Drosophila melanogaster: one gene and its partners. The gene in region 1 interacts genetically with each later gene. Each region holds a gene or a part of one and is shown on either strand. Other genes may lie near its edges.

Region 1 (4,958 bases):
CGCCTATTATGAATGTGCGAGCAAGATTGTTGTTATGGCCCCGTGTTGCCTTTCGGTTGATTTGGCTGCCTCTTTTCCTCTGTTGCCAGCTGGGCTGCATTTCAAACCATTTGGAAATTCGAAATTGTTTGCAAGCTTTTATTGGCCAATGCTGCTGCTTTTTCTTCTTCTTATTATTATTGGCCCCCGCCCCCGCGCTTTTCTAAACAATAATTAACAGTAAATGAAAGCGGGCAGGAAACGCGAGAGGCCTGTGGAGGCTTGTAGGTCAAGAAGCATTAGATGGGCAAAGGTATAGGCCATTAGCCATTATTTCCTAGTCGCTGTTATTATTCTGGCCACTGTTGCAATGGCTCCATCTAACGGTGCCTTCTTGCCTGCCGCATAATGACGCCTAATTGGCCAGGCAGAGATCAGGAATCTCAGAAATCAGAGATCGCCAATTGAGAAAGTGAGATCAGTGACAAATTACGCGGGCAATTTAAGCGCAGCTTTAAGCGGGCACATCCGCTTTGCACATACGCGCAGTGCAGAACATTAGACAAATTTGCACATTTAATCAAAGACAATTGTTTAATTGGTCAATTGCGGCAAGTAACTGGAGTACCAGCCGGGAAATGGGAACGGGGCAAGTGCGAAAAACAAGATAGTGCAGGATGAGACTCCTACACGCAGCACATGTGACATTAGAAACAGTTCTAACAAATATCTTAATTGCTATCAAATTTTATGCCGCCAGAAAACCTCGATTCCACTCAGTTTCAGTTGGGTTAGAGGCAACACAACTGGGGGAAGTTCGAGACCGCTCTTTATCGGGCCTCTCTATTTACGTTTCCAGAGTGGGACGGCAATAGCCGTGGCAAGACAATCATCAAGTGCGACTCTTGCTGGTGTTTTCGCTGTGGCCCCTGCACTTCCTACTAGGAAATTCCCCAGAACTCGGAATTATATGCAGCAGCAGCGCTGGCAAGTGTCATTTGAGACCAAGCACAAAGAGACACACAGCAGCTGCTCCCCAGTGGACTTGTGTGTGTGCCGGAGAGTGGATTTTATTTGAAATTCAAACTCTTTTTATGGTGCCCACTGATTACAGGGTATGCGAGGGTAGTATGCACTTGTGTAAGGAAGTGAGCAATGCTGTTCTAAGGATTGAGACTAACCAAATCTCGCTTTGGAATATTTCCTTTTCAGAAATGCCCTACAAACAGTTTATTAAGAGGTATCAACTGGTCGAACCGCTATGAACTTCACTTCCTCCCCGGATTACCAGTAAAAATCGTTAAAATCGCAGTCGCAACAGCTGTAGGAAAACTATAAACCACATTGGGAAATGCGTTTGGGATGGGGTGAATATGGATGGCTACGCCTTTTGCGGCTCTCTAAGCCCTGGGATGAACTTTTGTGCTCGATTTCCAGTTGCCAAAAAGCGCCGGAAATTGCTGGCAACTGTCGGTGGTCGCCAGATCGTCGGCATATATGCAATGTCTGCAGCAAAGCCCCCTTTTTCATATGGAAAATGAACCTGATTCTCGAGCACAGCGGCGAAAATTACATAATCGCCGGGCAAATGGGAGCACAGTCATATCGAAATTGTGCCAAATTGCAACTGCAGATGATAATAACGATAATTTATTTCTCCCCCAGTGAGATGTTTCTATTATACGAGCAATTTTCTGGAATCAGCGGGTGCCTAATTTCGCCCGATTTTCTCTGTTTCAGCAGCCAGGGAAAACATTTCAATTCTTCTATTTTTTCTGGTTTTTTCGGCCCACCAACAGAGGTTTTCTCTAGTTTATCGGCTTTCCCGAGGGTTTTTCCTCTTTCCGCTACCTGCGAATACCTGCCCCGAAAAAAAGAGGCGTGGGAATCGCCGAACATACAGGAGGTGCAGAGTTGGGAAATCGGAAAAAATTGCAATTGCAGGACGTGTGAAAATGTGCGGAAGACAGGAAACGTGGGCCAAGACCACTCGCAGATTTCCCGGAACGGCCTTGGCCAATGGGAAAGGGATTTTTCCCTGATTTTGAACTCACCTTTTTCGGCAAAGAGGGAAGTTATATATGTTTCGTATCCGTAAAACGAAGCTCCCAAGACACCAGAAGAACTCTGCACACACGCACTTGCTTTTGAACCGTCTTTTTTTTTCAACTCTAGGACGAATTATCGCACGGTTGATTTACGTTTTTTGCTGGTTTGGCTTAACAATTTCCTTTTGGAACATTTATTTGCACACAATTATTTATTAAATGCCGCACACACACACACAGGTGATTGGTGATCGATGATGGGCCGTGTGTGGTTGTGTTGTTTACGTACGTGTGTGTGTGCGTAGAGCACGCCTCGCACACACTGACAAAAATTCATTCACGACACGGTGATCACGATCGTCGCTCTCGCTCGCTCACTCATGGTGTTTTTGTGTGGAAAATCCAAGAGAAAAATAATACTATGTGAAGCGCAGACGAAAGACGCACAAAGCTGAGTTATTAACGTGTGTTATTGTTGTTGTTGTTTCTCGTTGCTACTGGATGTTTTCTGCTGCTGTCGCCTTGTATTTACTTAATTTCATATGCATATTTCGCCCATGGTTTTCTTTTTTCCGCTGCTTTTCCTTCTACCTGTGCTTTAGTTAAACGAACACACAAAAACAACACACACGCACGCACACCACACTCCGCGCACACACACACGCACGCACGAAACGAGAGACGCAAAGGTAAAGTGGTAAAGTGTGTGCAAGAAAAGCGACAAGAAACGGAACGGAACCAACGGAACCCGTATATATGCACGCGCTCTTCGATTCAATGGCGATTTCGGTTTCCACTGCACTCGCTGTGTTTGTGCTAGTACATTTCCCAGTTTCCTTTAGATTTTCGGTACAAGTGTTGCTATTGCTGGCGAATTTTTCTCCTGGCCACCGCGTAGCACTCGCGACGTTACGATTTTTCGACGTTTGATGCGCGGGTGGAGAGCAGACAAGCGTCGGGTTGGAATTGTCGGGACAGAGTGTGACCGCGGCGCCATCCCCGGAATATACCATCCGGCTGCGGGAAATACCCTAGATACCAAACTAATCGCTCATATATACCAAACGGCAGCGAACGGCCACGCTAAAGAATCGATATGTACATCGATAGTATCGCACTGCAAACTGACATCACTATTAGCACGCTTTTAAAGTTTGTGCAAAATAGGTAAATAGAAAATTGGGAAAATAGGCAAGCGCCGGGAAAATGGGAGTCCGCGGCCTGACCAGTTACATAGCGCAGCGCGCGGAGATCTACCTTAAGCCGCACGAGCTGCACTCCACGGCGCTGGTCATCGATGGCGACAACTTGAGCTGCAATCTGTACAAGGATGTCACCGGGAGCTACTCCGCCTTCGGCGGCGACTACGACGACTTCTACCGCGCCGTGGTGCAGTTCTTCCAGGTTCTGGCCGAGTGCAACATTCGGCCCTATGTGCTCATGGACGGCGGGTACGAGGAGCGCAAGCTGAGGACCGTTAGCACCCGGCTGCGCAACAAGATTTCCGTGATCAAGAAGATAAACCCCAATGCATCCATCACGCTGTTCCCGCTGCACCTCAAGGAGGTTTTCGTGGACGCTGTGCGCGACTGCGGAGTCCCGGTGATGAGGTGCGTCTTTGAGGCGGACGACGAGTTGGCTGCTCTGGCCAGGAAACTTAACTGCCCAGTGCTCTCCTACGACTCGGATTTCTACATCCACAACGTCAAGTACATCCCGCTGATCACGCTGACTGTTAAGGTAAGGCATAAGTTATTTGGATTCCAGCATATACTAAGCGATTCCATGTACCCCAGGTTCTCACCAAGCAGGTGAAGGACAAGAACAGCAGCAACCAGAAGGACAGTCGAGATCTACGTCACTGCGAGGCCAAGAATGTGAAGAAGCGCACCAGGGCCAACAAGATTGTGACTGGCATTCAAACCACAGGGCTGACAGCCAGTACAAAAGGCAGTTCCAAGACCTACAAGTACCTCGACTGCTGCATCTACCGGGTGTCCCATCTCTGCGGACGAGGAACTCTGAGTCCCGAGAAGCTACCCCTTTTTGCCGCCCTCCTGGGCAATGACTATATTGCCCGCAGTGCCTTCAAGAACTTTTTTGCTGCGGGAATGGGCAAAGCAGGACGAAGTCGCAAACTAAAGCTCCAGCAGAAGCGCATACAGGTCATCCTCACATGGCTGAAGGAGGAAACGGCGGAATCTGCTCTGGCTAAAGTGCTGTCGAGACTGAAAAAGGTTCGTTGCTTGAGATATCTTTTTCCGATTTATGCTAAAAATAATATTCTTGCAGAACCAGCGTGATTCCCTGGTCTCCCAAGTGAATGCAGCCATCTCTGGTTACTCCAACGAGTTGTGCCACGCCTACGATTACTTCGATGAGCACTACGAGAATGCTTTTCCTTATATAGAACCCGTCAGTGAAGAGGAATGCAGCGACGATGAACATTCGTCTAGCTCCGATGAAAAATTTTCAGATGTCGAAGAAGGCGAGGATCAGGAGGAAGCTGATAACCAAGATGAGGAGCAGCAGGAAGAAAATCAAGACGTTGATTCGGGTGATGAAGAAGAAGAGGAGGCGGATGAAGGCCTCGAGCTGGAAGTGGAAGACAAAACGCTACTCTTCCCACAATGGTTTCTGGACAAACTATATCCCGCGCACCTGCCCCGCAGCTTCGTGGACCTTATGCACCTGCGCAAGTACATCAACAACCCACAGATCGAGCACTTTCCCTTCCACGACTCCAATGAAGTGGCCTTACCCATCCTGAACTACGTGTTCGCTCTTCTCCATCACGTAGAGTGTGAGAAAATTGAGCTACCATTAGAAGTGGATATGGATATAGAGGGTTCGACAGTCCCCTATCTCACCTACCTCACCAGAGCTCTGCGAGTGACGAACGTGAGGTATTTCAAGATGCCCATTGAAAAG
Region 2 (4,853 bases), on another chromosome or scaffold:
GCGGTAGCCAGTCCCTCCCCGGATCCCTCCAAAGACTGATCGCTCGTATCCTGGTTAGACGAACGCATGCGGGGCATTGGGGGCTCTATGCCCTTCTTCTTGAGGGCATTGGCAATCGCCAACTCAATGCTGCTAGCATGGTCATCTAGGGAATACATCCAGATTAAACAAGAAGAATCAATGAAACAACTGAATGAGCTTTCACCTTCTAATGGGCGAGGCTTTTTTGACTTGGTGCTGTTGCTGTTTTGGAGGCAAACGGCATCTGTCGATGGTCCCACGTAAACGACATCTTCGTCGTCATTTTGGTTCTTAGCCTCGACACCCACAAACTGCACATCGTCGTCCCCTACGAAAGTCTTCTTTTGGACTTGGATTTTTGAAGATTGCTGCTCGTCCTCCTCATCGTCGTCGATCTCGCCGTCCTCTAAATCCTCCTCCAAGTCAATTAAGGGTTCATCCGCTAAAGCGACAGACATTATCGATTTGGCAGCTAATCTCTCACAGGATGAGATTGGAATAATTGGTGCCCTTAAAAAAAGTGGCCTCCCTCTTCTGTTGCTGCACTCTTAAGTGTTTGGTATTTGGAAAAGCTGTTGATAAGGGATCGGATTTTGAATACCATATATGGATGCATAAATATGTTTTAAGGTCAAATTCCCAATCTAATCATATATAAGGACGTCTTATAATTTGTCTTAACGTCCAATTACAATATAAAATGGTATCTTAAAATAAAGCAACTGCTAGTATTAACTAAAAAGGTGGAATGTACCATAATACGCTTCTAAGTGAATAAAAACGAATTAATAAATGTAGTTTAATGCCCCTTATTCTTTTTTTCCAAAATCATTCGGGGATTATTTGAATCACCCCATTGGCGGTCAAAATTTTGAACACAAATGAAAGGAATTGGTTAACACTAAAATCAAGCGTTGCTTGAATAAATGCTACATTAATGTTTTTGAGGTAAATACAATATAAAATGGCTGGTATCACAAATGACTACGGATTCAGAAGGCACGTCCAAGTACTAGCGACAGAAACTATTGACTTAAGATAGACCACCCGGATCATACGATCCTGATGCATTCAGTCAGAGTCACTTTGTAGCGTGGGCAGCATGGCTGCGATGAATGTTTTGGGCACCCTTCCTTATCTCAGCACTCGGAAAGTTTGAGCACTTTTCGCTGACAATGGTTGGATTGCTCTTTGTTGGTTGGTTTAAGTGGGATCGGATCGCTTAGGTTTAGCCTGGCACTTAGCTAGTTCCAAAGTGCAGCAACAAAATAATAAGCAAATCAGTTTGATGAATTAAAGGGTATGGGTCCTGGACATGCTTCCAGTATAAAATAAAAGTGATCAACAAAGTTGCGCTAGCACATTTGTTGTGTGGAGAGAACGAGAAAGGAAAATACACTTTTTACAATTGGCTTAACATAAAGATTCAGTTATACGTAGTTTTGGACAGCGAAACAAATTCCAGAATCCGAAAAGCGAAAGTCGAAAGCAACGGAGTGGCTTTCCATTGAGCCTAGGAACAATGGGGAAGTCGTAGGCGTTTGCCTTTATTATTGTGCGTAAGCGGAGTGAACCGTTATGAGCCACACGCGCATATGTACATGTGTATGTAAATGCTCGTAGCATTGTACATATGGCGCGGATGCGTGTATATATTTGGATGTAGCTGATGGACGGAATCATTGCGATTGATGAAAATAACAAAATCCAATGCGTCTCACACACGTGCATATAGAGCGCGTGTTTAGTTCTGACTCGCGATTGCCAAGCATGTCGACTCGCTCGCACACTCATGATCTAAGCAGGGCATACACACACACAGCCGAGGCGTGCAGTGCGAGTGCGCGTGTGTGTGTCGACTGCGAGGCAAAATGTTTTTGTCTTTGTTTATACATACATACATATATTTTACAGCGACTTCAAAGCGAATTTGAATATAATTGTTACACTTGAGGTGAAAGTTTTTGTTTGGTTTTCGGTACGATTTGTTTGAATGCTCTGTAAATGGAAGGCGTTCATGCGTGTGGCTTCCCTGCTGCGCAGTTTCCACTTGCATATGTACGTACATACGAACAGCAAAAGAAAAGCACGCAATTTATCTTTTTGTTTGGCTGGCGTTCCAAAATCAAGTGTATGCAATTTAAAAAATTTGCACCATCTGTCCCTTTCTAGCACCCACGTACGTGGGCGTGGGGAGACATGGCCCCGAGAAACATACATACATACATGCATACGCACACATGCATATGCATTGAAGTACATACAAAAATCTGGGAACTACTTATGCCATACAAACATTTCATTTGTTCGATCTTACTCTCTTAGCGTGACTGCTTTATGCTTTTTTGTGGAACATTAACAACTTTTCGGTATTTGTTATAACATTGCTGTTCGGTTTTCGGTTTATAGATGGGATTTTGTTGGTTCGTTGTTTTGCATTTCGCATTTTGCTTTTCGGATTTTCTGCTTTAGTGTTTTGTTTGCGTCGCTGCTTACATAATGTGGAAGTGGTACAGTAGGTGGATAAATATATACATATATATAGAGGCATACATGTATGGGATATAGCAGTGGCCTCACATAGATGTGTATATACATGCATATGTATATATATGTTTGACATACATCTGACTTATACGTATTTGATGACGAAGTGGTTGTGAGGTACATAGATAGGTACGAGACAAATCGTCGAATTTTTCGCCAGTTTTCGTAAATCGAATAGCGGCTTTAGTTTTTTCTTCTGATACTATATGTATGTACAGATTTATATATATGTGCGTGAGGCAAGCGCGCGCTCTCGCTCGCACCCGCTTGTAGCTTGCTTTCGCCCTCTTTCTCTGCCTGAGGGCCCCGTATCTCAGTATCTGTCCCTTTCTCTCTGTCTGTCTCTGTTACGCTCATGGACAGAATACAATATACAAAAACATTAAATTAATAAAACTTTTCGTCCAAAACATAATATTCAGGAGTTGTGTTGTTAACAGTTCAACAGATCGACTTAAACGAACTAGAGGTGTGGAAACATAAAAATACCAGTACATCGATATTTTTCGCAAAGAACATATCGTCGTGTTGGATGATATTAGTTAATCGATGTTTTTACCTAGTATATTTGGTATTTCCCCAAAAACCGTGAACGCAAGCTTACTTTTAAAGCTAAAGGCTCGCTGGCTGCGACATTTTTAAATATTAACCGATTGTTGAACCGGTTGTTAAACTTCTATATCAAAAAACTACATCATCTGTTTCTTAAGTATAATTAATAGGTAGCACCCCGATCTTTCGCTATTGCAGAAAACATATCCATTTATCGATATCGATCGGTGGAAGCTCTTCAGGCCACGGCTATCGGATGTCAGCGAGTGCAATTTATCGGCCATTTCCTAAAGTGAAACATTTTTGTATATTCCCGATCGCCATGGCCGGATCAAACCTGTTGATTCATCTAGACACCATCGATCAGAACGATCTGATCTACGTGGAACGTGACATGAACTTTGCCCAAAAGGTATGGCACCTCCCTGGGAGGACTTTTCGAATATGACTCAAATGTTTTACACATCCGCTAGACCAAAGTGTTAATTAAACAGTAGAACCTTCGTTTTCTTCTAGGTGGGCCTCTGCTTTCTGCTTTATGGCGACGACCACTCGGATGCCACCTACATTCTGCAGAAACTTTTGGCCATGACACGATCAGACTTCCCGCAAAGTGATCTACTCATAAAGTTCGCCAAGTCCCGGCCAGAAACCTGGAGAAGACATCTCGTGGAGGCCCTGTGCATTATTGGGGCCCGCAAGGTGCTCCGGAGACTGGGTTTCTGCTGGCAGGAGCTGCGAATGCACTACTTGCCGCATATCGCTGGGATCACGCTGCATGTCCATCCTCTGTTGAAGAGCCTCTACAGGATGTGTGAGGAGTTGTCGTTGGTGCAGAGTGGCCGCTTGCTCCTAGATGTTCGCGAAAAGGTGGAGAGCCAGCAGGCAGGAGATCCACTTCGCTTCTACGATCCCGCGTACCTGGAGATCTTTTTGCTGGACTGGCTGACCAGAAGGAGCATAAAGTTAGGGGACATAAATGCCGCAGGCAGCGATGTTCAGCTGCTGGTCGGCCATTTGAAGTCCAACGGTCTGCAGGCGCAAGCAAATTTGCTCAAAGACACCATCATTAGTAACGCTCCGGAGCCAGATGCGGCTGGCACTGCTGCGATGGCAGTCAAGCAAGAGATTGAATCGGATAACCAGCAGTCGTACTGTTCCACACAAATAGATGCTCTTAAGTTGACCCGGGAGAACGCAGGAATCGCCTTGATTATCAACCAGCAGAAGTTTCACCGGAATGTTAGCAGGGATAATATGGTTTCATCTCTGCAATATTGAGTAACAAAAAGAAGTACAACATTGCCCTTCTCCACAGAAATTTCTGTCGCCCGACCCACTGCGTAGACGGGATGGCACGGATGTGGATAAAGAACGACTAATCGAGGTGTTTTCCTCGATGGGATACAATGTGGAGGCGTACGACAACGTGGATCACATGGGCATCATAGAGCGCATTCGCAGTGCGTGCGATAGATCGCTCGTGCGCGATTCCCTAGTGGTCTTCATCCTGAGCCACGGCTTCGAGGAGGCCGTCTACGCATCCAACAGCATCGCCATGAAGATCACGGATATCGAGGACTTGCTCTGCAGCTACGACACCCTGTACTACAAACCGAAGTTGCTAATCATACAAGCCTGCCAGGAGAAGCTTGTCCATAAAAAGAAGCCAAATGAGCTCGTAAGGAGATTTATAAGCATGAAGTCGTCGAATGGGAAAGCCTATACATTTT
Region 3 (4,578 bases), on another chromosome or scaffold:
GGTGGTGTATTTGTGTTGTCGTGGGTGTTTGAGTGGTTGGGCGCTTCGGTGATGAGCATAATCCGCATAGTTGTTGCTCCTGCCCCTTTATTATGTAAAAATAGTGACTTTGGCTGGATTTGGCTATGCAAAGTACTTGCTAAGGCAATCACCTACACTTGCGGCAACTGCTAATTGAGAAATCCACACGGCGCTGACATGGAATCATTCGAATCCATTGAAATTGCCAAATTAGGCGTGGGGGTAACCCCTTGAACTTATCGGCTCGGCTTAACGGGTTTAACAAAATTAAATACACACATATGCGCATGTATACATATGTTCATGCTTGTAGAGTGGCTCCTATAGTCTGTTTTGCGAATCAGAATCCAAGTAGAATAGTTTTTTAAGTGTTGTCTCAAAGATGTATGCATACATGGATGTATGTATGTATGTGTGCTTATGACTCTGTAGAAGGTCTATAAACTATGTATTTTGAGGTTTTGAAATGCGAGCTCGAATCAACCCCCTTCCCCGTTTCCAGCTCGATTCATCCTCTTCAACAAGTTCATCTCATCATTTACAGTTTTAGCATGATCCGAAAAATAACAACAACAACAACGACAACAACAAAAGCAAGAAAGTGGGCACAAATAATCGTAACAACAACAATTGTGAGGTCAGTTTGGCACTAGTCAGCGTGTGTGATTATGTGCGCACTTATGTCTGCGTGCATGTACATACATACATATGTTTGTGTGCGAGCACAAAGAGACAATGCAAATTTGCACTCAAACAAAGAGAGAGCGAGTGCAAGTGCGAGTGCGAGAGAAAGGGAAGAGTTCATGAGCGTGCGTTGTGAATGGCTGGAGGGGTCGAGTGCTGTGAGTGGGGGGATCTTTGTTTATCATTTTTGTGTACTATTATTAAGGCGCCGCTGACGGTCGATGACGACATACACACACACACACACACACACACGCAAATGCAAACATAGAGTTTGCACGTGTTTGTGCAAAGTGTTTAGCCGCAAGAAGTAAAGTTCTCGTTTTGATTTTGTTTATTCAAAATTGAAATTCCCAGAAACAAAAGCTCCCATGACGATGATGATTCACATGCCAGACGCTGCGGGGAAAAACATCAGGAACTTTATCAGCTAATTGTGTCACAAGAGGACAAATAAGCCAGAAACATTTGCCTGCGCGCGTTTCTTGGTATAGTGCCATCAACTCGATCTCGATCTCAGTAGTTCATCTTTTATAATGCCCACACACACATACATATGTACATATATGAGCATATGTACATATGTACATAAGTCATATGTACATATATGAGCATATGTATGTACATAAGTCATATGTACGTACATACGTTTTTGATTATCTTAAAAAATTGTAATCACACGTACTCCTGCCATTTGACTTAGACCCACTTTCGATATTGACAAATTTTCAATGGTTTTACATTTTTTCCCCACCTCTATTCATAATTTCTGTGTCTCTTGTGTTGCTTAAATGGGCCGTTTTGATTTCTTTCGCGTCTCATTCCAATTCCATCCCTCTTCCATTCCCATTGCCACACGCTTGGCGCTCTTTTGCATTTTCTTAAAGTCGCCCAGATAAGTTCGGAATTACGTAATTAAGCGGCAGCAGCAACAACAAAAACAACATAACCAACAAGCTAACAATTAAGTATTTATTGCTTTCAATTTGCTGCCCGATAACAAAAGAAGCCAAAAAACAAAAAGGAAAAACGAGAGACTGGAAAAAACAAGCAGAACAAAGTAAATAAAAACCGAAACGGACACACATACACACACACACACACCGCTACCTGCGTCGACAGCGGCAGCGAAATCAGCGCCTCGCTTCAATTTTATTCCGTTTGAATTTGAAGATGTTTTTAGTGCACTGCCATTAAGTCCTTAGCACGCGCTTTTATTTCGCTTCGTTTCAATGTGCAGGTAGGAATAACAAAAAGCGGAGGATGGGAGTGACAACGAAATCGAAACTTTGCAACAAAATTGCATTTGAATGAGCAGCGGGGGCGCGCGGTAATTTCAATTATCAATAACATATTTAAATTCCCCATTCTCCTCCCCTTCTATTATCCTCTGTCCCTCCTTCCCCCCTCCACGGACTCCTACACCTTTTTTAGTCGCTCTCTCAACTCTTGATTGCTCTCTCTCTCCCTCTCTCTGTGCGATGGGAACGTTCTCTTTGCCTTTGCATCGGCCACTTCACTTCAGCGGAGAGCACAGTGGGATAAATTGGCAGTTGATGACCCATTGTTGCATTATTGTGTTTTAACCATAAAGCCAACAAATGCTTGGCGTTCAAGCCCTTCATGGAGTAACGCATATCAACGGATTGTCGGGGATTATCCAACGTCTTAAAGTCAAAATCTTACAAATCGCAGTATTTACCTGGCAAACGTGTTAATCCACAGGTAAGTTGGGCTGAAACCACCCTAAGTCAATATCAAGGGTTTTTTTTTAGATCTTTCTAAAGTTTAATTGTACGCATGTCTTAGCTTCGAATTCTTGTCATCCGAAATGCTTTGTTGTCCATTTGTTCTTGTTCTGGCCCACTGTGCCGCGTGTGAATGAACGTATAAAAAGTGAGAGCGTCGCCTGCCCGACTCATAAACGAAAATCAATGACTCCCAATGCGCGTACCCTTCCCTCACCCCCCTGCGGAGCCCAACGCTTTTTGGGAGTGATAAATGCCGCCTCAGCGTCGTCAGCAGATTTCAGCCTGCGCATGTTTGTCGGCCCGCAAACACTCGCAAACACACACACACGCTCTTCCCGTGATGTTTGTTGATTTGGCTGCATTCAAGAAACGACAGTGCTTGGGGCAGTGGGCATTGTTAGACTTTTAGTCGTTTCAACTCTACTTTCAGTGGGTATCATCCGCAACCAAAAGGAGGAAGGATGAACATTGCATGTGTGTACATACATATGTACATACGCAGTACGTAGTACGGATTACGTATTACGTATGGGCAGTTGCCATTTATGCAAGGTGGCTGTTCCTGCACTCGAACACATGTTTGTGTGGTCATTTGTAATTTGGTCAGGCGAGCAACAAGAAAAAAGGATAATGAAAGGATCAAATGTGCGTAGAACGTACATATAAAGGGTGTGATATCACAATTATTTTCGATGACTTCGTTTAATGTTGGAAAAGTAGACGGGAATGCATTACATCGAAGTGAACTATTTAACTTTGGATAGAACTGTTGTTTTTTGTAGGCATTTGCATTTCTCGCCGCTTCTTCTGCTCCTCCTCCTGCTCTTCGCTTTGGCGTTGGCGAGAGAGCGCCTCGTTGGTCTCTTTGTGTGTTTATGCTTTCAACATTGATACGTGCCACTTTTCGGATGCAGACTTGCGAGAAGCAGCGGGGGGGGGGGGGGGGGAAGAGGAAGTGGCAGAAGCTGGTAGACGGGGGCAACGTGTGGGGACAGCTGGGTGAGTTTGTAATTAATTGCGGCCTTGCCTCCCCTTCACCGCCAAACATCCTCATCCCCGGCAGCCAGGCTCCCTCGCTCGCTCAGGCAAACTCTCTCGCTGAGAAACCAGCCGCCAACAGTTTGTTTTCTTTTCTCGCCGCTCTCATCGTCACTTCCGACTCGTCGGGGGCAGAGGGTGGGCCAGCGGCATACTCTTTGTCTAGTCGCCAATCTCCCCGCACTCCACTTCATTCATGAAGCACAAAGTGTACAGCAGACACTCGCTAAGTGACTAGTGTTTCGTAATTCATTAAGATTTTTGTTGGTTTTCTTCTCTCATTTTTCCCGCACCAATTCTGCACTATTCACAAGTAAAAATGGCACCAACTCTCTTATTTGTGGGCACTAAAACGACCATGAATCGTCGTTCGGTGTTCACTGTACCTGCTGCCAGTAGCCCAAAAACGGACAGTGGCTGAGGCGTCAGCGTCGGCAGAGCAAAGAAAGCGCGCTAGTTACAGTTACAGTTACGTTACAGAGGGCCAAAGACAATGCTAGGCTTGGTTAACGGTAATTACAGCGTTTGTGGGGGGGGGGGGTGTGGTGTAGTGCTCGGGCGTAGCTAGGCAGAGGGATATTTGTTAATACATATGTAGCACTCGAATTCTTTAGTTGGTTTATAATATCATCAAGAATGAGGAAAAAACTAGCTAATTTGTTGATAAATGTTAAGATGCCCCTCTGTTTTAAGTCCTCACTAAGCCCATGAAAAGCACCGTTAATTGAGTGGGATGATCCCCATTGAAAGCGCAGTACTACAGCTAATTCCAATACCACTTTCAATATCCAATTGCTCGCCTTTCAATCGTCGAAACGGTGAACGAAGAGGAGAAAAGATAAGGGTATGTACCGAAATGTGGAAATACCCGAAAGGGCCATTGGAATATGGGATATTGAACCCTAATCGTGAAGACCTCGTGTTTTCTTTGACTCATCAGCCGATTTTGCGATAATGCGCTCTTTTTGGTATCCGTTGGATGATACATAAATTAAATACATAAATGATAACTTATAGAAACACCATACACAACTGTTTAGAAATTTGTGTCAATCACTGTGACTCACTCATGATTGGTGGCTCT

What was found. Genes that interact genetically often act in the same process or in processes that back each other up.
Region 2: of S (region 1) and su(sable), changing one suppresses a phenotype caused by changing the other (phenotypic suppression), as found in Drosophila melanogaster (2 studies listed by BioGRID).
Region 3: of S (region 1) and Raf, changing one enhances a phenotype caused by changing the other (phenotypic enhancement), as found in Drosophila melanogaster (2 studies listed by BioGRID).

The regions. Positions count from the first base shown.
Region 1 is NT_033779.5:1,074,802-1,079,759, forward strand, and holds the start of S (star), read right to left. Parts: upstream 3,015-4,958; 5' UTR 2,034-3,014; intron 1-2,033. Other genes in the region: ast (asteroid), read left to right, coding at 3,234-3,767, 3,824-4,264, 4,320-4,958.
Region 2 is NC_004354.4:634,073-638,925, reverse strand, and holds the start of su(sable) (suppressor of sable), read right to left. Parts: upstream 3,037-4,853; 5' UTR 2,647-3,036; intron 2,485-2,646; exon of another isoform or gene 2,339-2,484; intron 594-2,338; 5' UTR 480-593; coding exon 206-479; intron 146-205; coding exon 1-145. Other genes in the region: Dredd (death related ced-3/Nedd2-like caspase), read left to right, coding at 3,443-3,532, 3,637-4,380, 4,439-4,801. UniProt on the Drosophila melanogaster protein: RNA-binding protein that suppresses transcription of some RNAs. Together with Wdr82, part of a transcription termination checkpoint that promotes transcription termination of RNAs and their subsequent degradation by the nuclear exosome.
Region 3 is NC_004354.4:2,293,924-2,298,501, forward strand, and holds the start of Raf (Raf oncogene), read left to right. Parts: upstream 1-1,542; 5' UTR 1,543-2,035; intron 2,036-2,230; 5' UTR 2,231-2,430; intron 2,431-4,578.